Linked DNA regions of Rattus norvegicus. The protein of the gene in region 4 purifies or fractionates together with the protein of the main gene of each other region. This does not show direct contact. Links are inferred from orthologs where the notes say so. Each region holds a gene or a part of one and is shown on either strand. Other genes may lie near its edges.

What was found.
Region 1: the proteins of Rpp40 (region 4) and Rpp25 purify together in Homo sapiens (affinity purification with mass spectrometry; 3 studies listed by BioGRID and IntAct, counting the BioPlex papers as one, with this or other methods). This does not show direct contact. The link is inferred for Rattus norvegicus from reciprocal best matches to the Homo sapiens genes RPP40 and RPP25.
Region 2: the proteins of Rpp40 (region 4) and Pop4 purify together in Homo sapiens (affinity purification with mass spectrometry; 3 studies listed by BioGRID and IntAct, counting the BioPlex papers as one, with this or other methods). This does not show direct contact. The link is inferred for Rattus norvegicus from reciprocal best matches to the Homo sapiens genes RPP40 and POP4.
Region 3: the proteins of Rpp40 (region 4) and Rpp30 purify together in Homo sapiens (affinity purification with mass spectrometry; 3 studies listed by BioGRID and IntAct, counting the BioPlex papers as one, with this or other methods). This does not show direct contact. The link is inferred for Rattus norvegicus from reciprocal best matches to the Homo sapiens genes RPP40 and RPP30.

What each region holds. Positions count from the first base shown.
Region 1 is NC_086026.1:66,800,767-66,807,698, reverse strand, and holds Rpp25 (ribonuclease P protein subunit p25), read right to left. Parts: upstream 4,438-6,932; 5' UTR 4,253-4,437; coding exon 3,653-4,252; 3' UTR 3,057-3,652; downstream 1-3,056. UniProt on the Homo sapiens protein: Component of ribonuclease P, a ribonucleoprotein complex that generates mature tRNA molecules by cleaving their 5'-ends. Also a component of the MRP ribonuclease complex, which cleaves pre-rRNA sequences.
Region 2 is NC_086019.1:100,099,878-100,107,877, forward strand, and holds the start of Pop4 (ribonuclease P protein subunit p29), read right to left. Parts: upstream 5,180-8,000; 5' UTR 5,022-5,179; coding exon 5,015-5,021; intron 2,953-5,014; coding exon 2,900-2,952; intron 1,591-2,899; coding exon 1,364-1,590; intron 220-1,363; coding exon 142-219; intron 1-141. UniProt on the Homo sapiens protein: Component of ribonuclease P, a ribonucleoprotein complex that generates mature tRNA molecules by cleaving their 5'-ends.
Region 3 is NC_086019.1:243,216,390-243,223,269, forward strand, and holds the end of Rpp30 (ribonuclease P protein subunit p30), read left to right. Parts: coding exon of another isoform or gene 1-124; intron 125-373; exon of another isoform or gene 374-418; coding exon 419-535; intron 536-1,055; coding exon 1,056-1,085; intron 1,086-1,463; coding exon 1,464-1,501; intron 1,502-2,139; coding exon 2,140-2,219; intron 2,220-4,431; coding exon 4,432-4,541; 3' UTR 4,542-5,170; downstream 5,171-6,880. UniProt on the Homo sapiens protein: Component of ribonuclease P, a ribonucleoprotein complex that generates mature tRNA molecules by cleaving their 5'-ends. Also a component of the MRP ribonuclease complex, which cleaves pre-rRNA sequences.
Region 4 is NC_086035.1:29,149,802-29,157,624, reverse strand, and holds the start of Rpp40 (ribonuclease P protein subunit p40), read right to left. Parts: upstream 4,423-7,823; 5' UTR 4,403-4,422; coding exon 4,280-4,402; intron 4,071-4,279; exon of another isoform or gene 3,826-4,070; intron 2,557-3,825; coding exon 2,412-2,556; intron 1,766-2,411; coding exon 1,697-1,765; intron 295-1,696; coding exon 199-294; intron 1-198. UniProt on the Homo sapiens protein: Component of ribonuclease P, a ribonucleoprotein complex that generates mature tRNA molecules by cleaving their 5'-ends. Also a component of the MRP ribonuclease complex, which cleaves pre-rRNA sequences.

The DNA.
Region 1 (6,932 bases), on a different chromosome or scaffold from region 4:
TAAGAGAATTTGCTGCTATTGTTGGAGGACCTGGGTTTAATTTCTACCACCCACATTGTGGTTCACAATGATCTGGAATACCACTTCCAGGGAATTCAATACTCTCTTCTGTCCTCTGAGGGCACCAGACATGCATACACACACATTAAACAAACAAATAAATAAACAAATAAACCCATGTCTTTTGGAGGGATACAAGCCTAACCCCACACCTCTAATAACCTATCTTTTTTTTTTCTCTCTTTTTTTCGGAGCTGGGGACTGAACCCAGGGCCTTGGGCTTGCTAGGCAAGCACTCTACCACTGAGCTAAATCCCCAACCCCATAACCTATCTTTCATGGTGACCCACCTTTCTTACTCTGCCTTCTGCCCGCACTTTCTTCAATTATTCCTCTGATACCTATATGTATTCTAATATCTAGGTTAAATAAAGGGGATTAGTTTGTCCCTCTTGATTAGAATAATGACAAAAACCGGGCCAAGTTATGAGGTTAGGAAAACGGAGGGCAAAGGTTGAAGGTGAGTATGTGTCTGGCATATCTTCTCTAGATAATGAATATACTTTAGCAGATTCATGGCTAATGTATGGCAACTCCTGAAGCTTATACAACCTTTCTCCGCCACACTCCACCATTTGAACCTTAAAAGGTGTCACTCCTAAAATGTCAGAAAAGCAGGCAAGGCTCTGGCCCCGCTAGGATGAATGCTCAGAAGGCTGCCTTTGTGATGCCTGGAATGGCAGTGATGCTTGGCCTTAATAGTGCTAAGATCTGGGCTGGAGAGATGTCTCAGTGGTTAAGAGCTCTGACTGTTCTTCCAGAGGTCCTGAGTTCAATTCCCAGCAACCACATGGTGGCTCACAACCATCTGTAATGGGATCTGATGCCCTCTTCTGGTGTGTCTGAAGACAGCTACAGCGTACTTATATATAATAAATAAAATAAATCTTTAAAAAAAAATAGTGGGGGTTGGGGATTTAGCTCAGAGGTAGGGCGCTTGCCTAGCAAGCACAAGGCCCAGGTTCGGTCCCCAGCTCTGGAAAAAAAAAAAGAAAATAAAAAAAAAAATAAATAAATAAAATAGTGCTAAGATCTGCTCTGTCCCACCATCCCACTCCATCCCATCATCCCACACCAGAGTCTCAGCTCTTCTCTTCCTGTAGCTTTCAAGCTCCAATTACTCTTTACAACCTGTTTTCATTTGTTTGTTTTGTTTCGTTTCTTGATACAAGGTTTCTCTGTGTAGCACTGGCTGTCTTGGAACTCAATATATATACATGAATACACTATAGCTGTCTTCAGATACACCAGAAGAGGGCATTGAATCTCATTACAGATGGTTGTGAGCCACCATGTGGTTGCTGGGAACTGAACTCAGGACTTCTTTTTTTTTTGTTCTTTTTATCGGAGCTGGGGACCGAACCCAGGGCCTTGCGCTTCCTAGGTAAGCGCTCTACCGCTGAGCTAAATCCCCAGCCCCTGAACTCAGGACTTCTGATAGAGCAATCAGTGTTCTAAACTGCTGAGTCATCTCTCTAGTCTCCTAAAAGGATATTTTTTTTTTCTTTTTCTTTTTTTCAAAGCTGGGAACCGAACCCAGGGCCTTGCGCTTTCTAGGCAAGCGCTCTACCACTGAGCTAAATCCCCGTGTTCATGACTTCTATATCTTATCTTTTCCTTTAGTTTCAGAAGCCCAGTGGTCCAGTAGTCAGGTACCTCAGTTGTCTGGATGGTTTACTGTTGCTGGCCTCAAACTCCACGTGTGTAGCCAAGGACGATCTTTAATTTTTGGTATTCCTCCTTCCACCTCTATGGTTCAGGTATTACAGGCATGCACCACCATGACAAGTTGGGGTGGGCAGGGCTGCGAGTAAAAAGTGAGACTATCCATGCTAGGCAAACACTCTACCAGCCGAGTTACCTCCCCAGCCAAGCCTTCATTCCTTCCATGCTTCTTGCTCCATAGCAGGCTCACAAACACATCTAAACCCCTTGGCTCTCCCTAGAGATTCCTCAAGAACAAGAAATAAGGCCGGACAAATTACACACCTGTAATCCCAGCGTTTGGGAGGCTGGGGCAGGAGGATCAGTTATTATCCAGTCTGCACTACATGGCCAGACCTCCCCTAAAAAGAAATAATTAGGTCAGGGGGGTGGGTGGGAGGCAGAGGGCAATGAACGACAGTCTGGATGACACGAGTCAGTGATTCAAAACAGAGCAGAGATAGTGTTAGGAGAGGAGAGTGCTTTCCCCTAGGCGCCCCTCCATCAGCTGCAGAAACCCACATCCTCACCAGTGGGATTTATTTCAAGGTTCTACAAGCAAAGTGACTTACAAATGTGTTCTCTCCCATCTCCTTTCCAGAGGTGCTGAGTTCCACGGGGTAGCGCCTGCCCTGAAGATCCTGAGCTGTATGCTGCACAGCTCCCCGACTTCCACAGCACACAGCATACCCCCACCCCCTCCAGACTTGGACTTGGGCTGAGAGGCATCTGAGGCTGTTATCTCTCAACCCACAGCTGTGCAGGGCTGAAGGCAGCAGCTTATCAGGGAGCCTGCAGTGATTCACAGCCCAAGCTTCTCTGCTGAATAGTAATTTCCAGCAGTGGATTTGTGCTGTCTCTCTCCCTCCCCCTCTCCCAAGGGTGTGCTGTCCTTTTGCAGAGAGAGGGCAGCGAAGGGGAGCCCCTGCTCCTGGGGCTTTGTGCCTGCCTCTGGGTAAGAATGGCTACTGGGAGGAGGGTGCAAGGTTAGAACCTTAGCATGGTTGGCCAGCCTTGGCAGGCTGCCGCTTCCAGCTCGTCAAGGCTCCCCCTCCTTCCCCTCCCAGAAAAGCAGCAACACTGCTTCCTTTCCCTTGTGGGGATACAACAGGGACACAGACCTCCAACCCCCTCCACCACAAGTCCCTCTTTCGACATTTTTGACGCTGCCCCGTCTGCGTCTGACCTTGAAGACTCCAAAGGCTAATAGGGCTGAAGGCAAGCATGCCAAAGTGGGCTCTGCACAGGCGAGCGGGTAAGGGAAAAAAAAGAGACAAAACTGGGGACGGAGCCATTTTCATGTTTGTTTTATTGGAAGCAATACTCCAGCAGGACTCAGGGGAGGAAGCATGGCAAGTTTCCTCCTGGGTCCCGTCTCTGCCACCATGCAACAGGGGTGAGGGTGGGGGGAAGCTAAAAGGAATATGCTAGGGTGTGGGTGGGCAGAACAGGGTCCAGACATTTTCAACTTGGTCACCCTCAAGGAAACAGCTTCACAGCTCCTGCTCTCAGTTAACAACAAGGACGGTTTTTAAAGCCTCAACTGTCAGCCTCCATGCACACTGGGTGCTTTTAACGTCTGGGTCCCCAAGAAAGCTCAAGAGTCCCACTACCCACCAGGCTTCCCTAAAAAAGATGGCCTAGAAAAGGTGTGGGTGGTGTTCTGTGGCTTCTGGCAACATGTCCCACAAAGTTTTCCTCGGACTTCAAGAATCCTCTCTTGTAATTCTTGAGCTCCCTCTCCTGTCGCCTTGGGATCCGCGTTGTCATTTTGAGGACCAATATTCAGGAACATGGGCCCCTTAAAACCCAGGTAGGAAGGGTGCATGTGGATGTAGGTGTGTTGAAGATATAAGATCCAGTCTAGGTGGTTCAGAGGCGAGAATTCTCAGGCAGTCCGGTCCTCATTCTCAGCCTCTGGCTCAGGCTGAGACCGCTTAGCTGTGCCTTCTCCAGCTGCAGATTCCCCCAGGCTCCTCTTGGACGTCGACACGGTAGGAGGGGACGAAGGACCAGGACTGAGGTTCGGGGGCTGGTAGCCAAGCTGTCGTGGATCCAGTGCGTCCTTTGAAAGTAGGATGGCGAGGCTCGGTACATTCTTAAGTACACTGAGACTGGCGGCCGGATCGCTGGGCGTCTGACCCGGTGTGGGCCCAGGCGGGAGGCTCTGCCACACCTCGCGCACGCTCCTGTAGCGCAGCCGCGTGACCTGGTGTAAGCCCGCCAGGCGGCGCTTGAGAATCTCGGCGCACGTGACGGTCTTGGTGGTGGCCCGGCCGCAGCCGCTGAAGACGATGGCGCGCGTGGCTGGCTGCGCCATGCTAGCGGTGGCGAAGGCCAGCAGGTTGCGGATCTTGCTGCCCTCCTTGACCCGCATGTGTACAGCACCAGGCGCCAGATCTGCAAAAGGGCCAGAGCTCGGGCTGCCACCCTCATCACCGTCCCCCGCCGGCGCCTCCTCCGAGCGCACCTTACGGAAGTTCTCCATGCGCCGTCGTCGCTGGGATCGCAGGTTTTGCCATGGGGCCGCCTCAAGCCCGGGGCTGCATGGCCGCGGGTCGTGCCGGGCGAGGGCCGGCAGGAATTGGGATGCTGGCACCGAGTGAAAGCTGGAGGGTGAGCAGGGAACGCGGAGTCTTCAGCCCAGACTTCTACAGGGTAGTGCTGTTCTACTCTGCGCCCTCGGAGCCTTGTGCTCCGCGCCTTTAGCAGAAGCTCCGCCTGGGAGCGGGATAGGCCCTGCCCCTTAGTCCAGGCCCCGCCCCAACTCTGCGTGTCTAGTCCCAGCCCCGCCAGCCTTTGGGATCCAGCGCTGGTGCTCAGCGGCTGAGCAGGGGTGGTTTGGGAGGTGAAGTTCCCCGAAGTCACCATCTGTCCTCCCTGAACCAGCCCTCTTGCAGGAACAACCTAAATAAAAACTATGCTTGAGGTGCAAACGCCGATTCAAGCCTAGTCCCTAAGCCTTGCGAGTTCCAGCTCAAGGGCATCCCTAGACCCCTCCTAGGTAAGAGATTTCCAAACCACCTCTTGGGGCTTCGCTTCTCCAGCCCTCCAGGGACCTCCCTCCCTTTCTCTCTATATATTCTTGCGTCAAGGACAGCCAGTGCATGGTCAGCAGAGTGTGGGAGGCGTTGGCTGCGGCTGCACGCAGCGCCTTCCCTGGGCTGGGACCGCTACGTCGTGGCTTGGTCTTTCAGTAGCTGCTTGGAATGACTTAAGTTTCAGCTTTGCTCCTCTTGATCATACCTCCAGGCTCCCGGCACCTATACATCTCTGAAATGTGGGAAGTGATGCGTTGGGCCTGCCTAAAGTGAATGGGGAACAGGGGACCATTTCTTCCAAGGCGTTAAATTCTAACATTTATGCCTGAAAGTCCGTTACCAGAGCTGCGTGTATTTTTAAGTGCGTGGCTCAGCCCGTGCTAACGCGGATTTCTGACTTCCAATTCCAGGTGGAATTCCTTGCCAGTCAGCCTTGGCCTCTAGAAATCCAGAGGATTGTTTTTGTTAAACGGAGAGAAGGCAGGTTTTAAGAGGTGGGAGGCAGGGTGGAGTGCCTTGGTGGAATGTTGGGGGTGGGAGTACTTGCAAACTCTGGAAACTCCACAGAATCTAAGGAGAGGCTCGGGCTCTGCTGGGAGGTGAGATGAGCGTAGAAAGATGAGGCTAGGGGCCAAGGGCTGATGAAAGGAAGACGGTTTAATAAAGAGTGACCCTATCTAATCCTCCCCTGGGACCATGTCCTCAGTCTTCAACCGGCTTCCACGAAAGGCAGGGAGTCAGACAGACCTGTTAAAGCACAGGGAAGGAAGAAGCACTAAGGACTGTAAGGAACTGTGTTCTCCAAAGTATCAGCAAGATGGTATCTGGATGAACATAGCTTCAGTCTAGGAGTAGAGCTACCCGGCCCTCCTCTTCCTCTTTGCTGTCTGTGACAATTCTCAGCCCCGCGGCTCAGAACACTGGCCTTATATCTCATCTCTTCTTGGAGTGTGGCTGCAGCACCTGGACTTTTTTTTTTGCCTCAAGTGTGAGTGACTGACTCCAATCTCTTGCTCACACTCCAGGAGTGTGGCTGGAACTGGGACTCTGTCCTAGATCCAACTCTTGCAGACTTCAAAGGAAGGAGCAGGCTCTGGAGGCCCAACCTTGGGACGACACCACCTCTGCTGTGCTCTTGGGCAAGTGGTGGAACTTAAAGTCGGCAGGTTCGGATTGGCTTGAGAAAAAGTTCCAGAAAGACTAGAAGCTATGTAGGAGTGTGCTGGTTGGAAAAGAAGCGAGCTCTGCGTCCCTGGGAGTATGCAAGCCTGAGTTAAACACTTGGAGACCCTGTAGGCAGTACTCTATAATTTGGAAGACCTGGGGACTGCAAGTTTGTTCCATAAGGAAGGGGTGGTTGTGCCTCTACCCAAGTTGGCCCTCAAGGACACCGCCACCCCCTCTCAGCACCACTACCCTCTGCCATAGACTCCCCTATTCACTTTATTTTCGAGTCTGTGGAGGGAGAACGCAGAAAAGGCCCAGTTCCCCGCCCGCGTAGCTTCCTTTCCCGCTCCCTCTGCAGCACTTAAAATGTAAATGCACATCGTGATTAGCCGCGGGGTCGCTAATTACAGCTGAAGCCATTCATTACGCTGTCAGCTCTCTCTGTCGCCTGCCGACTGTGCGCTCCCTCCCGGCCCGGGAGGGGCGGCAGCGGGGGAGGTGATGGGGGAAGGATGCGGGGACTGGGTGGTGCTGGCAGCCTTAAAGCCCAGAACTGGCAGAGGGGCGGTGAGCCGAAGAAACCGGTTGGACCGTGAAGAAACCTTGGTGTCAGAGAGGAGAGAAGCTCGGGAGACTGGAAGGAAGGAGATTAAGTGAGGAGGATGAAGAGGAAGGTTATGTGAGAAGGGATACCAGGATGGGAAGACGGCCAAAGGAGAAATCGTGCGAAATGGGTAGGGACCTTCCGAAAGGGGACAGACGACAGCGGGAGGAGAAAGAAGGTTCAATATGGGGAAAGTGGGTAAATAAAGGCACTATCTTTGCTACACACAACATCATGGTTAGAAAGGCAGCCAGGACGGTATGCTGAAAAAAGCTGGTTGCCCGCCAAACCCTGCGGATACGTTTGCATATGTAAATGTATTTTTAAATACTTACAAGAAAACTGCACACTGGCAT
Region 2 (8,000 bases), on a different chromosome or scaffold from region 4:
AAAGAGAACCCGCACAGAAGAGTAGGTAACAAAACAAACAGAATCGCAAACACCACAGCCCGCTGGCTTCTCACACAGCATCCCCAGCGCTCTCAAGGCTTGCCATCTACTTCCGTGGCAGGCTTCAGAAGTAGAACTCACGTGTCTGGCTTGAGCCCATTGCACAGGTCACGGATGTACTGTTTCCAGAGTTCATGTAGAGGGAGGAAGAGACTGTATCTGTCATAAGGTCAGAAACAGGTAGAAAGTCAGAGACAGAGCTGGGCTCCAGGCTGAGAATGAGCATGAGGAGCACTGGACACTGTGTGCAAGGCCAAGGCTCCCAAAGATCCAAGCATCTCCCCAAGACCCTACTTGAACCTTAACTTCTTCCCTGGTAAACCTTTCCAAGACTAAATATCTGTTCTCAAAAAGGGAAGTGGTGGTCCTTCGCCCAGATGCCTGTCTTCCTGGCTGGATATAGGTATGATGGTGGAGCCCCTGGCTAAGACCCCAAACGACATTTGAAGGCAGCAATGACCCATCAGCTATAATGACCGAGGTGCTGTTCACCACATTCCTTTCCCCAAGACAAACGAACAAATGATCATTAGTCTTGTTTAACCCACGCTTACGGGAAGTTAAACTTAACAGCCCTTGGGAGGTGCAATCCCTTCTGTAAGGTGACAGGACTGTTTAGGAGGCGAGGGTAGAGCCTGGAAGCTTTTCTCTGGGGGTGATTATCACATGTCTTGGTGCCCAGGGTTAGACAGTCAAGAACAATGGCTTAAATCTGAAACAAGCACTTCCTTTAGGGAATGCAGCAAGGCATATCCTTGGCAAAGTGACACTCTCATGCCATCTGGGACATGGGAAGCTATGTGGCTAGAAAGCATTATACAAAGCCAGTACACAGTGGCTGCACACACACAAACTCACAACGAAAGAAAGACATCCTCCCTCAAGACAGGTCTGAAATGAGTAGGCGGGCCCATTCCTTGGCAGTAACCTCTGAGTGGGTAATATTGTCCAGCTATATTCAAAGCTACAGGAAGTACACATTAAGGCATATCAGTTCCTCTTTTCTAGAAAGTTCAAAAACAAACAGCCTGTTGCCATGGGAAACAGACTCACTTATTAGTGAGGCTAGGACAGAAGCTCCATGATGAGAACCCTCAATCTCACCAATGCCTGCCTTTTAGAGGCCAAGCACAGGCACAAAGAAATTGGTAGGGGGAGACTGCCCCCTTGTGGCAGAAGGCAGAGAAGTACCTGAGCCTAAGTGGGCACAGATATCCAGTGAGCTCTAGGCTCTCCAGTCTACACCCGGACAAGGAAGACTAGGCACTGTTGGAAGGCAAGACCTTTAGGAAGGTGGGCATACCTCTGTTGCTCTGGTTTAATGTCAAAGAGCCGCAGCTCTCTCCTCTGTTTGGCAGAGAGGCCTTTGGATTTCTTCTTTGGCCTTGGCTTCGGCTTCAGGCGAGTGAAATATTCCAAGATCACAGCCTTGCGTTGCAGATGGCTCTCGCAGTCTTGTTGGCTCATGTGAGGTATGCTCTGCTTCAGGAAGGCCCGCACAAAGGCCTCAGCCCGCTGGGTTCCCAGCTCCTGCTCAGAGACATGGGGGTGTTGTTCACTGTTCTTCTGCCCAGACACCAGGGCCCTCATACCCTGTTCCAATGAGCCACTATCTTTGCTGATCTGTCTATCTATCCACTGAGGCTCACAAATCTCTTTTGCCAAGGGTTTGCTCCACACAGCTGCCAAGATGTAGAAGAAACACTCATATGGTACTTGTGACAGTGTCCCACACTGCAGCCAGTTCAAACACTGACTTCCTGTCCTGCTTCTTTGAGATTCCTCTACTGAGGATCCAAGCCCTATTGTGATTTAGTACTTCTCTAATCCTTGTAGGGAAGGAAGCCTGAGACATGGATGATACAGGTTATCCAATCAGTCATGACCAGCTTATAAGGGGAAGGGAGCGGGGGGTTGGTAGGGAAATGAGCCACTCCGGCACTAGGGGAAACTGGGGTTTCCAGGAAGGTCAAGTCCTTTGAGGAGGACAGTGGATATCAAAGTCCTCTTTTTTTGGTTCTTTTTTTCGGAGCTGGGGACCGAACCCAGGGCCTTACGCTTCCTAGGTAAGCGCTCTACCACTGAGCTAAATCCCTAGCCCCTCAAAGTCCTCTTTAATCACTTGTCCTCTGGAGTTGGAGCAGCAACAATGTATTCCTCACCGGGCAACATCAACTGAAACCCTGTTACCTAAGGACTGACCTCTTCCCTGAGTCATTTGCTGGGAAGTCTGGGTTAACTGCCAGCTTTAGGGTAATGTATGAATAGTGACTTCCACCCTCTCTATGCTAAAGCAAGGGAGTGAAAATATAGAATACATAACCTTCGAGGTGCCTGAAGCAGGGATAGCTCAACAATTCATCAACAAGTGACATGAGGACACTTCGGATCTTGTAACTAGGTGGCCTCTCTTTCATTGGGGATTAAAAACTGAAGGTCAACGGGCCTTTTGAAGTCTTGATTTCAAGGACATGTTCCCTTTAGGAGCCATAGGTGAAGCTTCTGCCCAAATGACAAAGCATCCGGAAACACCCAGACAAAACTCCTAACAGCGGCTTATGGAACGGGCTGAGCACTGCCCAGGATACTGGTTTCAGGTGGGCGAGGCTGTCATCCCTACAGAGAGGGGGATGACAGGAAATCAAGGAGTCCAAGTCCCTCAGAGCTGACTCTGGTAGCCTAAGGAAGGAGTCTGGCTCATGAAGACATCAGCACAAAAGGTTTTTATGGGGCCTAGTACACAGAATGGAAAGGAGAGGCGTAATCCATGGGAAAAGACAGTTACACCAGCCTTAGAAGATCCCGAGCCTCCTTTGCCGTCACCTCTGACAGACTGTACCTGCACATCGTGGTCCTTGGCTTCTTTATGAGAAAAGGCATGGTAGATCACAGCTGGGGGACGAAAGACAAAAACAAGGAGAAATGATTCTTCCTGTTAGGAACGAGTATAATAGCCAAGGCTTTTCCAACTAGGACAAGAACTACACTTACTCAGAGAAGATGATCCTTTTATTTTATGCTGCAGTGCTGGAGGACTAATGTGAGGGGAGTGTAATGTATGCTGAGCAGGTGCTTCACTGTGGACGTAGACCCCAGCCCTCTTACGTGTCTGCTTTGTATCCTAGGCTGGCCTCCAACCCACACCAGTCCTGTCTTAGGCTTCCAAGTGCTAGTAGCTGGGATTATACACATGTACCACCACACTGACCTTATAGTGGTACACATGTACCACACTACCCTTCCCTCTTGCCAACTTCATCCTAGAAATTCCCAGGATGTAGTTTTTTTAGAAAAGCACCCCTCAAAGCTTAATGTGTTTAAGAATCACTGAGATCTTATTAAAATTTAGGGTTTTGGTTCCTACTCGACTCTGCATGTTCAAAAAAATTCCTCAATGGGTCACATTTAGAGTTAATCTGATTTTAAACACCCAAGAGTTATAATTACGCTTGGGCAGTGGCTCAGTAAGTCTAGTAAGTCTAGACACTAAAAGTGAGGCGATCTTAATGCGTATGGTTGAAACACTACATTTTGCTGACTACGGAGAGGCTTGAAAGAGGTTTTTTCACACCTTAAAATCTATAATGTATCCTGACCAGATAAGATACAATAGTCTCTTTCCAAATTCTAAATACCATCTTCAGGATGCCAAAACCTCTTTTTTTTTTTTTGTTCTTTTTTTTTTTTTCGGAGCTGGGGACCGAACCCAGGGCCTTGCACTTCCTAGGCAAGCGCTCTACTACTGAGCTAAATCCCCAACCCCGCCAAAACCTCTTTAAACCTCCTGTTTCTCATTTGTTTGGAGGAAAGCATCATGGGGCTCATGACCAGAAAATGCAGTTCACACCATACTCCATACATTCCACTTCTGAGCTAAGTTTGGTGGCATCCCCATCCCTTGAGAGGTAGAGGCCAAGCTGGTTTTACACAGTGAGTTCCAGGCCAGCCAGGAGAACATAGCTGGCTGTATCCCAACAGCAACAGTAAGAAACAAACAAACAAACAAACAAAAATCCATCTCTGTTTCCCTGAGTACATGCTTGAGCAAGCAAACAAACCAAGGCACTTACAAGTTTTATATACAGCATCTAGTTCTCCCTTGAACAATGGATTGAGATTGTGCTTTTTTTGTTTATTGAGAGTGGAACCCCAGGGAGAACTTTGTTGTATTGACCCCAGATGCCTAGCATCAAAACTGAAAGTCTTTCTGCAACATGCAACAGGTAGGGGACACTCACTGCTGGTTGAGCAGTTGGTTGAGTGAGTGTGTGTGCATATATATGTGTGTGTGTATATATATATACACACATATATGTATGCATAATATGTATATATTAATGTCATTAATCTTTCTAAGCAATTTAAAACAGTAGTTACTCCTTGTTATGCACATAGTAAGGTTGTAGCTAAGACATGCTAAGAAACTTGCTCTCTGAGAAAAGGGCACGGACAGGGGTGTGAATCGCCCGATCAGAGGCTTAATCTTTACGGCATCCCCTCTCTACTCTAATACTGCTCCAGTGCTTAACTGCCCTTCTGGGTGCAGGTCTTTTCAGCTCAAATATCAACGCCTTAGGTGTGCGACACGGCCCCTCAGCAGTGTTTACAGGGGCAGGGGCAAGGGTGAAAAGCCAGAGAGTAGAGGGGAGCAGGCCCTAGACATAAGTTATATGGGAAGGTAGTGGCTAGGTCCCGTCAAGGACTTGGACCTACCTCTTCTAGTTCCCCTGAGAAGCCCTTGAGGAGGACACACACACACTCGATCCTGACGTCCATTCCTAGCTAAGAGACTGAGTCGGCCGATTCAGACTTGGGGCCTCGATTTGTGTACTGAGTCCATTCCCTGGAAGATGTCTTCTGACAAGTGTCCCTGACTCATTTCACAGACCAACTTCTGGTTCCGGTGCTCTATAGTCTCACCTCGGCCCCATTCCGCGCCTCTCATTCCACTTACCCTTCATTGTCGGCCAGCTTCCGGAGCGCTCTAATGATGTCTCCTCCAGGCCTCATGCATTCTTTTCCTTTCTTCGCTTTGTTCAGAGGTTTTTACCCCCACTTGGATGCTTTTTTGTTTAAGTTTAAGTTTCCACCTGAAAAAAATCCGATAAGCCCAAGAAACAATTTACAAACTGCACGGACTTGCTCCAGCCGGCGTCAATTTCGGATCAGGCGCCTCTCTGACGTCATCGGCGTGATGGCATCTATGTGCGTCTGTCTCTGGCAACACATGCGCCTTGGGGTTATCTCTGTGGCTTGAGGGAGGGGCGAGGTTTGCAGGTCTTCGCTGTGTCGTTCACTTTGCAACCGACTGTGCCGAGAGCGGTCGGGTCGAGGGTCAGGATTAATGAAGTATAGCGAGGCAAGCTGACATAGAAAGGACGTGAGGGAGATCGGGGACTAGGGAGGGCACAAGTGGTCCGGGGATATCGGCGGTAACGACTTTTTTTTTTTTTTTTTTTTATGCAAGGGGCTCACAATGTGGCCCCGGGTGACCCAGAATTTACTCCCGAGATTAATAGGCACATTTTGTACTGGTGGCCGGGGATTTAGTTCTGTTTCTGCTACTAAATACCTTTATAACCTCGTTTAAAGGTCTCTTTTACTTGATTTACTTGATGTCTTGAGCAAGCAGGTAGATACGTCCAGTTAGTGTAGCTAGTATAACAAAAGTTACATTTTATTATGCTGTGGGCCATTACATAGGTTCACCCCCTAAATTCCTAACTACATTCCTAAGCCTATCATCTCCCTAAGGCTACCCCTCTTGTGTGACTTATCTTAGCTGAAGGTCAGGCCCAGTCTCTAACAGAAGTTTTTGATTGGATCCTGGCAGTAGGGTTCGGGGAGGGGGTACGGGGGTGGGGTGGTGGTGGTGGTGGCTCTCCAGCCCCAGGGCAGATCAAGGTGGCTTCTCTCCAGACAATTGCTCTTGGTGTCTGCTTATATAATTCCACTGGGTGGCATGGGGTTCTAGGACTGGCTAGTTGTCTTGAATGAGTGATGAAACTGGGTTCTGATTATCAGGTGCTGCCTTTGGTGTAGTGGGGTTCCTTGACTAAACATTTTTATATGTCTAAAAGGCATCTTTCTTTCCTTCCTTCCTTCCTTCCTTCCTTCCTTCCTTCCTTCCTTCCTCCCTCCCTCCCTCCCTCCCTCCCTTCTTCCCCTCTCCTCTCTCTCCCTCCCTCCCTCCTTCCCTCCTTCCGGCTGGCCTTCCTTCCTTTCCTATGCTCATTAAATTGCACTCTGATGGTCTAAGAATGTTTGCTTTTTTAAACTGATTTTTTTTTTCACTCCTAAGACCAAGTTTCCCAGACACTTGCTGTGTGGTGTAGGCTGAGCTTGAAAGTGTAATATTCCTGCCTGAGCTTCTGGAGCATTAGAATTTACAGTCTCTCATTACATCCAACCCAGAAAGCATCCTTCAGACCAAGAACATTAGTGTCTGTCATTATGATAAAAGACAAAAGTGATTCCCATAGATCTGGGACACAAAGGCCCAGCCTAGCCTTTTTCTCTAGCCCAGTTATTAGGAATCTCTTAATGGACCCTTTTAAAATATCTAGCTTAGCTTTGGGTATCTGCCAATATTCCCTGTGACTCTCAGACCACAGTAGGGTGTGGGCTTTTCTGAGTAACAGTGACACACAGTTGCATACTTACTAAAACCTTTGCTTTTTAAGGAGAGCCTCACAGTTTGTCACCCTCAGAAAACTATATGAAGAGAGATACCTACTAGGATTTCTGTGGTTCTTGTTTATGAGAGCAAAGTACTGGACACAGTAGTGGACAGGGATGGACTGAGCAAATGAAGTGTGTGCTGATCTCTTTGGTCAATAAGGTTTATCACAAGTGTGAGTGAGTGCACACTCAGCAGGCTGGGGCCGGAGGGTAGAGAGGTTGAGGTCTAAGCATACACACGGAGACCCTGTCTGAATAAGCAAGGAAATGGAAGGTTTCAAAAGTTCTGATGTGTAGGCATCTCTTAGAGTTACCTAGCAGAAGGGTGCCTGGAATATCTGCATTTTAAAAGTTTTTAGTTTATGTTCATTGGTGTTTTGCCTGTGGTTATGTCAGTGTGAGGTGTCAAGAAGCCCTGGAAGGGGAGTTACAGACAGGTGTGAATTACCATGTGTGTGGTGGGAGATCACGCACAGGTCCTCTGGGAGGGTAGCAGCTGCTCTTCATGCTGAGTCCTTCCAGCACCAAGAATCTATATTTAAAAATTGTTTTTAAAAAGTCAGTCAGTCAGTCAGTCAGTCAGTCAGTGTGTGTGTGTGTGTGTGTGTGTGTGTGTGTGTGTGTGTGTGTGTGTGTGTTGGTTTGAAGCCACCCCGTGTGGAACCTCTGGAAATGCTACATGTGCTTTTGATCCCTGAACCATCTCACCAGCCCCCAGAAGGAGCAAGCGTCCTTGTGGCTTTGTAGAGCATCTTTGGGGAATATGATCACGTGGTATAGCCGGGTCTTGAGGTAGAACTAGTCCCAATTTTCTAAGAAACCAGCAAATTGATTTCCAGAGAGGTTGTACAAATCTTTATACCCATCAGCAATGTAAGAGTGCTCCCCTTGCTCCACATCCTTGCCAGTATGCGCTGTCATTTGAGTTTTTGGTTTTAGCCATTCTGATGGGTGAAAGGTGGAATGTCAGAGTTGTTTGATTTGTATTTACCTGCTGAGTAAGGATGTTGAACAACTCTTTAAGTGTTTCTTAGCCATTAAAGATCTCTCTGGTGAGACTTCTCTGTTTAGCTCCGTACTTCATGTTTTTTCTTTTCTTTTATTGGATATTTTCTTTATTTTACATTTCAAATATTATCCCCTTTCCAGGTTCCCCTCAGGAAACCCCCTATCTCATCTCCCCTCCCTCTGCTTCTATGAGGCACCCACTTCCTCCTGCCTCCCCACTCTGGCATTTCCCTACACCAGGGCAGCAAGCC
Region 3 (6,880 bases), on a different chromosome or scaffold from region 4:
CCTCGCTCTTGTTCCTCAGGCCCTTCAGGTCTTCATCTCCTTTTCCTTCATTGGGGGTCAAGTTGCTTGGCTGTCTGTTGGCTCAGTTTCCCTACATATGGGAACATCCTTTTCTTTGGACCGTGTGAGTAGCGGCTTTGCGCCTCCTCCCCACACAAGCGTTGCTGTCTTCCCCCTCTGCAGTTCCTGTTTATATTGGTAGGCCCCACAGCTGACTAAGCTCTGTCATAGCCTCGTGTCTGTCTTTCTCACACAGATGGGGTGCAGAGTTGTGGGTCTGCCTTTCTTTAAGCCAGGCCCTTCCCGTGCAGGAGACATGCATAGAGGGGAGAGAGGAGGTGGAGACAGACTGCAGGGGAAGTAGTTAACATACTTGTCTTTGACAGTTTACACTTTGTCTTCTCTATCTCTGGGAAAGGCGATCGAGCGAGGCCTGGGCTTTGAGCTGGTCTATGGTCCTGCTATCAGAGACGCAACCATGAGAAGGTACACAATCTCCAATGCCCTCAATCTGATGCAGATCTGCAAAGGAAAGGTATAGTTCCTGCGCCCAGGGTGCTTTCTGCCAATGGCGGTTTAGTAGTGTGTCCATGCTGTCAACTGACTCCTGGCCTTAAGCAGAAAATTCTCAGGACACTAGATTCTTCGATTTCAAGGAGCTTTGCAAGAGTTTGTAAAAACTCCCCAGGGAGGAGTAAGATACGGAAGAAAGATGTGCCAAAAGCCCCTGGTTTTGATAAGGGATTTGTAGTTTGCCACAATGAAAAGTTAGTAGTTGATTATCGCTGAGTGAGTTAAAGTTACAGCTTCTAATTCATCTGCACTAAGATGTATTCACAAAGTTTATTCTGCTTTTATTATTGGCAGCCTTGAGTGTGACATGAGAGCTTTTAATGGTTTCCCACTAATTACCTACCTTATCTTTAAAAAAAAAAAAAACGAAAGTATTTTAGTCTTAAATGTTAAAACGGGATTGCTGGTCATTTGTTCTATACAGTTCTTCAATTATTTTATTAATTATCTAAGATTAATATTGCTCACTCTCTGTTTTATAGAACGTAATTCTGTCCAGTGCTGCAGAAAGGGTAAGCATAGCATGGAATACCTTGTCTCCGTGGTTAAAACGTCACTGTGCTCTCAGGACAACTGACGGACTGCCAGTCTGTGCTTTTAACTGATTTGCCATGGTGATTGCTAAGTATATCCCGTTCATGCGGCCTTCAGGTTGGGCCTGTGTATGTTTATATTAGGAAATAACTAGAAAACAGTGGTTTTACTTCTCCCTTTACCTTGTTAACAACGCCTTTATATGGTTTGTTATTTATTTTTAGAAAATTATCACAATTATAAGGATCTTAATTTATGAAATTTACTTATCTTTGGATACTGAGTTGTACTTACTTATTGTAAATAATTAAAATGTTAATAACATCTCGTTCTATTTTCTGTTTTCCTTATGTCAGCCTTTGGAAATAAGAGGACCATATGACGTGGCCAACTTGTATCCTCTGTGTTCTGTTTAAACATGTGTTCCTATTGGGTGTTGATCAGAAGACAAGTTCAGGAGTTCGGTCTCTCCTTCCATCCTGTGGGTCTTAGGCATCCGTCCTAGGCCACAGGGTTGGCAGCAGGCACCCTTACCTTCTGCCATCACATTGAGCTAGAATTTTCCCTTAGAAAATGTAATCAAAAGTGCTGTTAGAGTTAGCCTGATGTTCCTTATCCTTTGGTTGGAAATTTCCTGATCAGCTGCCTCACAAGCCAATTACAACCAGTTGTAGACTTCTTTATCCTTTCCTGGTTTTCTTTGTTTGTTTGTTTGTTTGTTTGTTTTCTTTTTTTCGGAGCTGGGGACCGAACCCAGGGCCTTGCGCTTGCTAGGCAAGCGCTCTACCACTGAGCTAAATCCCCAACCCCCCTTTCCTGGTTTTCTGATTAAGCAGAAGAAAAGAGAGGCGAGGGACTATGCAGGATGAAAACAGTTAAATGAGGCTTCTCAGGTGCAGTCTCAGTCGGGCTAAGACCTGCTGTAGAGTTAGTCTGTCTGCCACTGTGGCCAGGTGAGCTGTCCTCTGTTTGTGTTCGTGTTGTCTCCTACCCTTTGGCTGACTGGGTTGAAGTCCTTACTGACCCTGTCAGAGGGCTGCTGTTCGGGCTGTCCGAAAATGAAGGCAAGGCTGCCGTGTCCACAAACTGCCGAGCTGCATTTCTCCATGGAGGTGAGCATATTCATATCGTAGGGTCCCAGAGGCAGGTCATCGTCAATAATTGACGTATGTGTGCCCGTTACCCTTCCTACAGAGTTCCCATAAGGAACCAGTTCTAACCAGTTCTAACCAAACGCTGGTCCCTCCCCTCACTTCAGGCTTTACTTTCTGTAGTGTGCGTTATATGTCGTTATATGTCGTTTGCCTTACAGAAGTGACTCCACAGTGTCCTCTGCCCACATTCTCAGAGGCCTTTGACTCCCTCCTGCTTCTCACTGGATGGTCTCTCTCCCGGCTAAAGCCAAAAATAAAAAAATAAAAAAAAAAAAAAGTTTCAGGAACAGAAATGGGAATAGTAGTGTTAGTTTGACAGGATCTAGAACCATCTCATTCCAGAATCGCCTGTGAGGGGTTATCTAGATTACAGTGAGCCCCTGGGAATGCAAGGGTTTGGTTAGTGGATGTGAGAAGACCCTACTCCCTGGGTAGAGGTCCTGGATTGTATACGGCAGAGAAAGCAAGCTAAGCACCAGCGCTCAGACCTGTGCTCCTTAGCTGGGACTGCGACATGGCTGGGTGCTTCAGGCCTTGAGCTCTTGAGCTCCCTACCGTGATGGACTCACCTTGTGCTGTGGGCTGAAATAAACCCATTTACTCTATGAGTTGCTCTTATCAGGGTATTCTATAACAGCAACAGAAAAGAAACAAAAATATTAAACCATTAATTAAAAAAAACAAACATTTTTGGGTCTGGATAGATGGCTCAGTGGTTAAGAGCACTGACTGCTCTTCCAGATGTCCTGAGTTCAATTCCCAGCAACCACATGGTGGCTCACAACCATCTGTAATGAGATCTGATGCCCTCTTCTGGTGTGTCTGAAGACAGTGTCCTTACATATATAAAATAAATAAATGTTAAAAAAAAATTTTTTTAAGTCCAGCTATCTAAACTCAGTCTATAACTTTTGTGTTCATCATAACTCAGAATGTTTCTCATTTGGGTTTACGTGATCATGCATCTGCTGTTACGTATTTTGGGTGGGTTGGGGGTATTGCTTATGTAAAGATATTATACTAGGTTAAAAGGCCATTTCTTTGTAATTTAATAAATGTGCTTTGAGTATATATCCCTCCATACCCCTCCACCCTCCTTGTCTCACCCCCATTAGTCTCTTGTGCATACTCACACACACACACACACACACACACCGTTAGTCCTCTTTGTGCAGACTCTCCTCCAGTCGGTCCTTCTGACCCACTCCCTCCCACCACCTCCCATTAGTCCCCTTGGTCCTGAGGCAGGTCCCTCCGACTCCTGGACTTCTCCCATGGTCTGCACATGCACCGTTTGTGTACTGGAGTGGAGTGTGAAGCCCATGGTGAGAGGCAGAACCCACATCCCCTGCAGCACTGCTCTTCCCCCTTCCTCCTCACCCTGCCCTTCCTCAGTGTCACTTTTCAGTGTGCTCCTTAGTTCATCAGGCAGGTGACTGTCCTGTGCCTTCATTGTAATGTCTATTCGAAGTGCACTTCCTTCCCAGCATTTTGAACATGTAAGGATCTTACATTCTGTATAACAGCGCCCAGCCTGCTAACACGTGCTTAACACAAGTTGTCTAGATCTAAGTTCAGCTCCACTGCTAACTGAGCCGAGCATACAAGGCAATCCCTCTGCATGGTAGGTGGCTACTGTACACCAGGCCACTGTTGGTCAGTACAGAGGTGCAGTGACAACTAGGATAGTGATGGCATGTGGGATAGGAAGAGGTCACCACAGCCCTTGCTGTGGGAGCAGTGCAAAAATGCTTGTGGTTCCCTGTCTTTTTACCCTACATAAAGCAGCTGCTAGGCCACTTATGGCTGGCTCTGACCTGACCTCATCAGATGCCATGGAGAGAGCCGTGGAGAATCCCTGCTCTGCAGCTTACCTAAAGGAAATCCTTAGGAACAAACCAGATGGTCAAAATACTGATCATAACCGGCACCCACGCCCTCAAGAGCTCTCTCTGGCTTTCTTATTTACAGGGCTATAGGCCAAGGAAAATGGGGTAATGCTGGGTAAACCAACATCTGCTGCAGTCTCCGCTCTCAGGAGGCTAAGGCAGGAGGCTCAGAGTTGGCTGGACTGTGTAAGGAGTTCAAGGCCAGCCTGGGTACAGGTGAGATCCTGTCTCAATGAAACAGCAGTAAAACTGTGTTTATCAATGTGATTTCTGTGTTACAGAAACTAGGAAAACTGCTTTTGGAATTATTTCTACAGTGAAGAAGCCCCGGTCATCAGAAGCAGAGGATGAATCTCTTCCAGCGTGCAAGAAAGCTAAACATGAGGGCTGAGGAGACAGCCTGAGTCTCCATCACGCTGCTCCTCCCCTCACAGCTCATCAGTCACTGCAAATACACTCCGCTCGGCTGACGTTTTCACTAAACTAGAAACCAAGTCTATAAAAACAGCTTCATATTCAGACATTAAAACAGCAAATAAAACCCAGTGAAGCATTTTTAAAGACTAACGATTAATTTAGATATACTTTTAAAAGAAAAACTATTACCCTTCATGTGAGTAATGAATAGCAGTAGGTGCACTGAAACAAGATGTCTCGATATTGTAAAATATTGAAAAATAATAAATTAATGTTTTTTGTTCTTGGTACATATGGATTTGTAACTTTTACTATCCCAAAAAGTGGTTATTTTGAAGACTTAAGCTCTGTTGTGCAGGTGACTTTAACCAACTGATTATGTTTTAAGCTCTTTGATGTCCTGCTCGGGTTAAAGCCTTTCTGAAGGCCTCCTGGACCTGTGAAAGGAGAAGGGCACTCACAAGAGTTGCTTATCCCCTCTATGTGCTCCCTCCTGCCTTCAAGTTGTCCTGAAGACATATTCCTCCCTTTAGTTAGACATCATTCAGTAGCTAATACTGATTTTCCTAGTTGCTATAGGTTTAAAGCATTTGGCTCAAAAAAAAAAAAATCCTTTGGAAATAATTTTCAACAACAAGTTCATTAGCCTGAGTAGGCAGCCATCTCTGTAAATACCTGGATTTATGCCAGATTGACGTAAGGGCCCAAGGACGGGGTGGAGTTAAGGGCAGGAAGGAACGATGAAGAACGGTGTTCCGAAGATGAGGAGGCAGGTGTTTAAGACCGGGTGTATGCTGCTTTCACGGACATAGCTACTGAGATCAAATATTAGCAAGTAAGCACATGGTTAAAGTCAGTGAAGCTTTAGTCCAGGATTGTAAGGCTATCTTAGTTCTCTTTAAGGCTTTTGTTCTTTCTGTAGTAACAGAAATAAGGGGGAAATTAATATTCAAATAGGTAGCAGAAATGATGGAATGAAAACCAGTATCCACTCTTACATTTATACAGAGCAAAGGAAATCCTTGATGAGTCCTAGATGTGAAGGTTCCTGGCCATGACTGAAGCAGAAAGATCACAAGTTTGAGGCCAATGTGGCCTATGGAACTACAGTGGGGCAGTGGGGAAATATTGCATAGGCACATGTTTGTGCACACACATGTAAAGCATACTGACGGAAAATAGCATCGGTGACTGTTCACTGAATACTATTCTTGGGAAACCAGCCTAGACATCATCAATAGATGAATACATAAAGAAAATGTGTGTACATTTGATGGCCAATGTGACAGGATCTAGAATCAACTGGGTGACAAGACTGTGGACTGAGTACTTAGATTCGTTCGTTGAGGTGGAAGAACGCCTTGTGTGTGAGTGAAACTACTCCATGGGCTGAGGGCCTAGGTGTTCACAAAGAGAAAGTTAATAAGCACGCACAGACATCTGTCACTTCTTCCTAATGATAGATTCAGAATCGGCAGTGAAAGAGCAGGGAGCACAGGGTCCCACCCCAGTGGTGTGCTAGGTTGTTCACTTGGGGATACTGAACTACCTGGCTCTATGGGGAAGTTAGTAGAGTTAAGAGCAAACACTGAAAACAAACTATAATCTTCCTCTGCCTCACTTCATCTTTTTCCTTGCAGATGCCATTACTGCCAATGTTAAACAATTAATATTCATAGAAGCATTAGAGCAGGGCCTGCCATATAGAAAGTATCCATTCACTCTCCACTCTTACCCTTACAGGAGGTAAAAACTAAGCTCTCTGTCATACCAACACAGTAAATTCAGGTAGTTCCAAGCTTTGACAAGCCAAATTTGTAAATCAGCACAGAAAAGCAATAAGCCAGAAGATGATGTAAGCCTGCACCCCTACCTAGAACTTGGGATGTGGGGACAAGAGATGGAGTGGTTCAACATTCTCAGGTACATAGCAAGCTTAAGGCCAGCCTGGGCTACACAAGACCCAAAAACAAAAAACAAGTGAAAAGGCAAAATGTAGATTTCTAAAACGATCTTAGATTGGAATAAACTCAAGTATAATCATTGAAACCAGAAAATTAAATGTCAGTTGATTTCTATGAGCATATGTTAGAAGCTAGGATTGTGGCTCACTGTTGTGACACACTGAATTGTGGGTTCAGTCTCTAGCACTATGAAATTAGAATGTTCTGCCGGAAACAATATCGTCTAGGAAAGTTACCTTCAAATGATCTCCTTTGAGAGATTGGAATCACCATTCCTGACTTGTTTTCAAAAGTAAACAACTAGCGGTGGGTGCTGCATACCTGTAATCATAGCATTCAGGAAGCTTGG
Region 4 (7,823 bases):
TTGGTGTACAGCCAGAAAGGAACAATTTAACAGTACCAACTAATCCCCCAAGAAGTACAACCAATAGCTCCTTGAGTCAGGATTTCAAAGGCAAGAACCCTACTTTTCTGAATAGAGATCAGAGGTAAGGCAAACATTTACGTTTTATTATAAGAAAACTGACTTGCTAGACACCAATGGTGCACGCGCAATACTTACTAAACCTCATACTTTTTCTGCCAGAATACCGAGATGGATGGCCTTGGAGTCCAGTCTCTTCATAAGTATCTTTATCCAGTGATAAAATTAATTTCCCTACAAATCAAACAATAGCTCCTATAATAGAGAAGTTAAAATACGGCTGATGTTCTCTCTACAAAAGTTAGGCGTCAGAGCGGCGAAATGTCAGTGTAAGAACACGTGAAGAAACTATCCACAGCACATTGATACTATCAAGCAATGTACCCAACTAGTCTGGAACTTTGCTCTGTAGCTGAGGCTGGGCTCAAACTGGTGGCAATCATCCTGTTTCAGCCTTCCGAATACTGGGACTGCAGGTGAGAGCCACCAGGCTTGGTGGTATTGTCTACCACATATACATATGTAGATATTACAACAGCAAAACTACAAACAACTAAGTTTGTATAAAGGAAGAAATAAACTGTGGTCTGTAAATTACTCCAGATATCTTCTTTAAAGTTTAATTTAGATTAATGTACTTGTATGCCTGGTTGTAATTACACCAAAGAACCTGCCAACATCAGAAGAGGATGTCCGATCTCCTAGAATATGAGTTGTGAGCTGCCATGTGGGTGCTGGGAACTGAATCTGGGTTCTCTACAATGACAGGAATCGTTCCACACTATTGAGCCATGTGCCCACCCACCCCCACTTCAAATACCTTCAAAACATTTAAAAGCTTTATGTTAAAGCCAGGTAGAGATGTGCTGGTTCGTGTGTGCAATCCCAGCACTTGGACAGCTGAGGCAGGAGGAAGGAAAATCTGAGGCCACTCTGGTCTAAGTGGCAAGATCCCACCTCAAAAAACGTCTAAGTCACAACTATATGCATTGAAGCAGGAACGTGTCTATGTCATAAACTCTGGGAAATAAGACTACTGAGAAAAAATGTCCACCAATGTGTAAAAATGTTACGCTTGCTGGTGCTGGTGACACAGGTCTTCAATCCCAACACTCATGAGGCAGAGGCAGGTTAAGGCCAGCCTGTTCTACAGAGTGAGTTCCAGGGCAACCAAGGTTACATAGAGATACCTTGTCTCAAAACAAAACAAACAAAAATATGTATGCTTATAAATTCTTAAAGAATAAACATCAAACCGTGCCATCTAAGAAGAAAGTCAGGGGCACAAAGATGGGCTTCATTTTACTCTGTTTAAAGCTATACGACTTGACTTTTTAAAAAAATTATTATTTTATTACTTTTATGTGTGTGGGTGTTTTGTCCTCATGTTATATCTGTGCACCATGTATGTACCCGGTGCCTGTGGGACCAGAACGGGGCGCTGGGCTTACTGGAACTAGAGTTACAGACGGTTGTAAGCCACCAAGTGGGTGCTGGGGACTGAACTCTGGTCCTCCGGAAGAGCCACCAGTGCTCTTAAATGCTGAACCATCTCTCTACCTTCCTTAATTTTTTTTTTAAAGCAGTGCTATTTCTTTTCTAATGAGGAAAGGAGAAAAAAAATGAATGCTGTCACCATTTGGTAGGAGAGCAACAGTATTATCCTCATCAATACTTGTATTGTACGTTAATGCAGAGAGTGAACCTGTAAGAAAAAGTCAAGAAAAGTCATTAGGTAAATAAAATAGCACAACATTTATTTATGAATTATTTTCCCATGACAACAAACTTCCAGGTAGGTAACAGTCAGTATGTAGCACAGCTCTAACGCATTCAAAAAACCCAATACACCCCAGAGATAAGTTGGAACACACACATATGCTATGTTCCAGCTAGATCACCCCACTACTCAGGTCACATTTGGGGTCTTTTTGTGAGAGTTTACTTGCAGACTAGAACCTATAGTCTTGGGGATTCTAGCAGAAAGGTGTGCCACAAAGAGGCAAGAGGACAAAAGTTTGATGTAAAGTTCTAAGTTAATATTCAGAAACCATTTGAGCAAGTTAAAATTTAAAAACTTCTTCATGGTCATCTGTAGGGATTCAACCTATTTCACTGAGTTATTGCAAGGGCTAATTAAATTTGGTAAGATATTTAGCTATCACATAAAGAGGACACAGGAAAGAAAACGACAACACTGATGGATAGAGAAGGGACGCATGCAGCTGACCACATGATCTATCCTCCACGGGCCCTTTTACAAGCACACGAAGAGCCCCAATATTTTCCTGAGGTCTTCCCATAGCTCTCATTCTGTTTGTTCCTATGAGACACTAAATGCTTCCTCTTACCTTTCTTTACAAAGGTGTTGATGAATTCATGTGTAATTAATTCATGAAGAGGTAACTTCTTCACAGAGTAATAGGGTCCCATTTCCATGACCAGGTCTTTTAGTTTTTTTGATAGCAGCCCACACTCAGGAATAAGAAATGAAACCTATTAGAATGTAGGAGTACAAACAAAGTTATATTTTATGAAGATTAACACTATGGTTTTAGAAATGGAATATCAAAATTGCTAGTTATTCCTTCACAAGTTTTGGTGGGACATACAAACATGGGTAACGTGAAGATTTGAACATGCTTGGTCCAGGGAGTAGCTCTATTAGGAGGTACGGCCTTGCTGGAGTGGGTGTGGCTTTGTTGGAGGAAGTGTGCCATTGTGGTCATGGGCTTTGAGACCCTCATCCTAGCTCCCTAGAAGCCAGTCTTCTCCTCCTAGCAACCTTCAGAAGAAGATGTAGAACTCTCAGCTCCTCCTCCTTAAAATCATGCCTGCCTGGACGCTGCCATGTTCCCGCCTTGATGATAATGGACTGAACCACTGAATTTGTAAGCTAGACCCAATTAAATGTTGTCCTTATAAGAGTTGTCTTGGTCACCGTGTCTGTTCACAGCAGGAAAACCCTAGATAAGACAGATGTGTGCACAAGCACACACAACACACACACACACACACACACACACACACACACACACACACACACACACACAGAGTCACCTCCACACACGCCCCCAGGCCTCAAGACAGGGTTTCTCCGAGTAACCCTTGCTCCTTGCTGGTCTGGAACTTGCTCTGTATATCAGGTTAGCCTTGAACTCAGAGATTCACCCATCTCTGCCTGGGTTTAAAGGTGTGCATCACCTAAACTTGCTAGGCAACAATTCTTTTAATCTATTAATCTCAGGCAAACAGATATTTGACTATTCAAGTTTTTTATTTCTGTATCTCAATGTGAGGCAAGAGACTAAGCAGAAATATTGTAATTGAAGTATTATTTGAATCTCATCTTTTGCATATAAGTAGTATATCTTATGTCCTTCACACCTTATATTCAAAGAAATAGAGGATAATTCAACAAGTCTTGATTTGCTTACTCTGGAGTCATGAAATCAAAGAAACTGCTCCTGAGAACACAAGGAATTTAGGGACATTCAGTTAGTAAGAAGTTATATAGAAGGAGAAGTGCTCCTGGAAGCTTCCATTTCCTAGACATACATCTCTGACCGCAGGCATAACTTTCAACCAAAGAGATGTAAAATCCGCGCGGATTTCAAATGATCCCCAAGCGCACATCTAAAGTCCGTTCCGCAAAGCTCCAACAACCAGCCTAACCTGTTCCTTACGGACAAAGACATCAGCTAATTTATCTGAGAAACCTATCAGGCCGATATTTAAGGTGTAAAATGCTTAAGCCCTTATCACCTTAAGGTAAGTGTTTTTGGAGTTCCTCGGTTGTCAAACCGCGTGATGCTTTGGAAAGAGTCACAAGCTGATTCACAGAGAACTGCACAGACTTAGGGAGCAAGTCGGCTACGTGTTGTGCAGGTTGCATTCCTAACTCCTCCGTGCCTGCCCGACCCCCGCATTGAGTTACCCAGGGTCTCAATCTTGAACCAACCAGCCAAATTCACAAACTAAAACTCCGCTGTTCCTCATAGGACCGAGCGCCACCCTGCGTCTGGTGCATGCTGGGAATTGTAGTCCTATACAGTGCCAAGCAAGGCAAATAGCAAAATGAAGTGACTACAGTTCCCAGCATGTCGAAGGACGAACTCGGCCCACCCTCTGAAGCCGAGGAGGTCTTGCCGGGTGATGCACGGCGTGATTCTACCTTAAATCTCTCCAGCCCAAGGGAGACCGGGTGGACCTGACTCACCCTGTAATTATGATAGTGCGTCTCCACGAGATGCTTATGGCGAGACTTATCGTGGCCAAAGTTGGATTTCTCACAGACCAGTAAGTGCCGAGGCGCCTCCTGAAGCCTGCGCAGCGTCGCCATGTTAAGGAAGTGTCCAGGCGAGCCTCTCCTCCCGGCCCGCCCCCTCGGCCCGCCCCTTATCCTACCATTCGCCGCTTTCTGACTACGCCCCTCCCTCCACCACGCCCCAACCCTTCTTTCCTTCCCTCTCCCTTTCCCTTTCGGTCAACTCCTGGGGGCACTGAGTCTGAAGGTTCTCAAGAACCTGGCACGTCCATTCTATCCGACAGAGTTTTTCCCTGGAGGAACAGTGCACATACCTGGGATGGACCCAGAGAAGGCCTGCACCCTTCCACCTTATGAAAAAGGGGAAGATAGGACAGAGGAAAGGCCTAGTACAGTCAGAAAATTCATTTGCTGTGCGGCACACTGTTTTCCTGGCTCCTCACATGATCTGGTTCCTAATGCTCACCCACCCTTAAGTTCCCACGGAGCCTTCCCAAAAAGGTATAGGAAATTGTGGAGGAAGATAATATGGCATTTCTGCATTTTCATTTCCAACAGGACTTCTTTGCTTTGTTTTTCGATTACTTGATTCATTTTTTTTTCATTTCCAACATTACTATTTTGTGATTTTCCCAAAATCTCAGTTTCTTTGCTGAATTGTACTTCCATGTACACTGTCGCTGTCTTCAGACACACCAGAAGAGGGCATCGAATCCCATTACAGATGGTTGTGAGCCACCATGTATTGCTGGTAATTGAACTCAGGACTTCTGGGAAGAGCAGTCAGTGCTCTTAACCGCTGATCCATTTCTCCAGCCCCCATAGCTAATTCTTTTTTTTTTTTTTTTTTTTTTTTGGTTCTTTTTTTCGGAGCTGGGGACCGAACCCAGGGCCTTGCACTTCCTAGGTAAGCGCTCTAACCACTGAGCTAAATCCCCAACCCCCCCCCCATAGTTAATTCTTAAAAGCCATATTTCTCTTCTCTCTCTCTCTCTCTCTCTCTCTCTCTCTCTCTCTCTCTCTCTCTGTGTGTGTGTGTGTGTGTGTGTGTGTGTGTGTGTGTGTGTGTGTGTGTGTGTGTGTGTATGTATGTATGTACAGCTAACGTTCCTCTCCAGGTCCTTGATTGAATTAATTTTTTGTTTGAATCTTTCTTGAGGTCTTAAAGTATTTTTACTAGTAAACTTCTGAAATCTCCCAGCATTTTACCTATTTCAGTATCTCCGAATCCAGTTGCTAAGTCATTTTGTTTTGAGGCAGGATCTCATTATATATCCTGGCTGGCCTGGGACTCAATGTATACTCCAGGCTGCTCTCACATTTGAAGAGATCCACCTGCCTCTGCCTCCTGAGTGCTGCGATTAAAGGTGTGCCTCACCACGCCCAGATAATTGATTTTGTTTTGGAAGACTCCTGTTGCCATGTTTTTTTCATTCATCCTTCCTTTGTTTCTGCGTGTGGTTTTGACATACGGTTATTACTGAGCACCCTACTTTCCAGGACTCAGTCACCAGTATTCATAAAAGAGTAAACACATGGCTGAGACAGTAACAAAATGGAAGATATAGAAATACACCCAAAGTTGCTGTTATTACTAATAGCCATGAAACAGAAATTTACCATACTAGTGTAGAATATGCTAGGGAGTTAACGACTATGTAGGGTAAATGTGAAAATAGCAAGAAAATGAAAGCAAGCCTAAGGAAAGAAAGAGAAGGGGGGATGGGAAAGTGTGTCATGGATGGAGAGTGAAAAGGGAAAGGGTTTAGGGGGAAAAAAACAAAAGGGGGAAATCTCAAAAATAAAAAATCTTGAATACTGAATTATATAAATACGAGAGAAGTAAAAGGAAAAAGAAAGTAGTGGAGAATATGAATAAGATGAACATCTGCATGAGGTGTGAAATGTACGAGAGAGAAATAAAAATGCTTTTAAGGCATGTGATAAAGGGGAAACACTAACAGTGTGCTAAGAGGAAAACGGGAAGAAAGGTAGAAGGAAAGGGAGAAAGGAAAGCGAGGAGATAGATGTTGAAGCAGCCTCTTCTGTAGTGCTTGGAATAGGCGAGGAGAGAGTGTCATTGACCTTGCAGACTCTTGTCTTGAGCCTGTCTTGAGCAAGTGTTATGTGTCCTCCCGAGCTGTCTTGTCATAACTTCACCTTGTTCTTCAGGCGTCTCTGCTGACCGCACTTAGCTTTTCAGTCTATGCTTTGACTTCTCTCATTCTCCAGAGATTCCCCAGGTCATACTTCCCATGGTGCTAATGTTCTAGCTGAGGGTTGTCTCCTCAGTCCTTTGGGAAAGAGGAAAGAAACCAGAGCACTGCCTGTGTGGGCAGAGAGCTTGTCTTGCACTTTTCAATCTCTCTTAAGTATTGATTGTCGGCTGGGAGATGCAGTTGTGGACATCAGATAGTCTATTGGAGCTTCAGAGTTCTTAGGATCTATAGCTAAAGAATAATTCTTCTATGACACTGACATTTTGACAAAAAAAATACACAAATAGTAATTGTGGAAATGAAAGAAAAAAAAGAGTAAAGACTCAGAGGGTAAAGTGTTACCAATAGACATGACTAAGCAGAACAAAGGATATGACAAGGTCGAGAAAACCATACCTTCAAATATCAATAAAGAAAAGAAGGAACAGGACCACAGTATTCAAGAACTCTGGGTTATGATCAAGTGACAGAAGTTAAGAATCTATGAGCCAGCAAGGAGCTGAGATCAAAACTAAAGGTGTAGAGAATCTATTCAATGAAATTATAGCAGAAAAAAAAACCAACTCAAATTTAGAGAAAGATCTGGGCATCCAAACACAAGAGACGTTTACAACCTCAAATAGACAATGGCCAGACCCTTTCCAGGACATGATGAGGACGTAAAAAATGTAAGGAAAAGAAATAATATTAAAAGCTGTAAGGGAAAAAAAAACATTAACTCAGCTACAAAGGCGAAGACAGAAGAATAACATATATCTTTCAGCTTCACCCCTGAAAGCTAAGAAGGCATGAAACAATAATATAACAAGATCTGAAAGCACATAACTGCCAGCCAGGCTTGCTGAGTGCAGCACAAACATCGTTTAAAATCAGTGCTGAAGCCAGTGCTGTTGATCAGTTGGTAAGCTTCTTGTCTAGCATATACAGATCCCTGGGTTCTGCCCCCAGAACCACATGAGCCAGGTATGGTGGAAAATGTCTCTAATCCGAACAATTGGAGGGTGAGGGCAGGAGAATCCGGAGGGTAAGATCATCCTTGGCTTTGTAGCAATTTGAAATCAGCAGGAGCTACATAAGACTCCATATCAAAAAATTAATTTCATCAAATTAACTTAATCATTGATGGAAGCCAGGTAGTGCTGGTCACACCTTTAAAACCAACACTCTGGAGGCAGAGGCAGGAAGATCTCTGAGTTTGAGTCCAGTCTGGTCTACATGTTCAGTTCCAGGACAGGGAACTCTGTGTAGAGAAACCAACAAACAAAATAAAATCATTG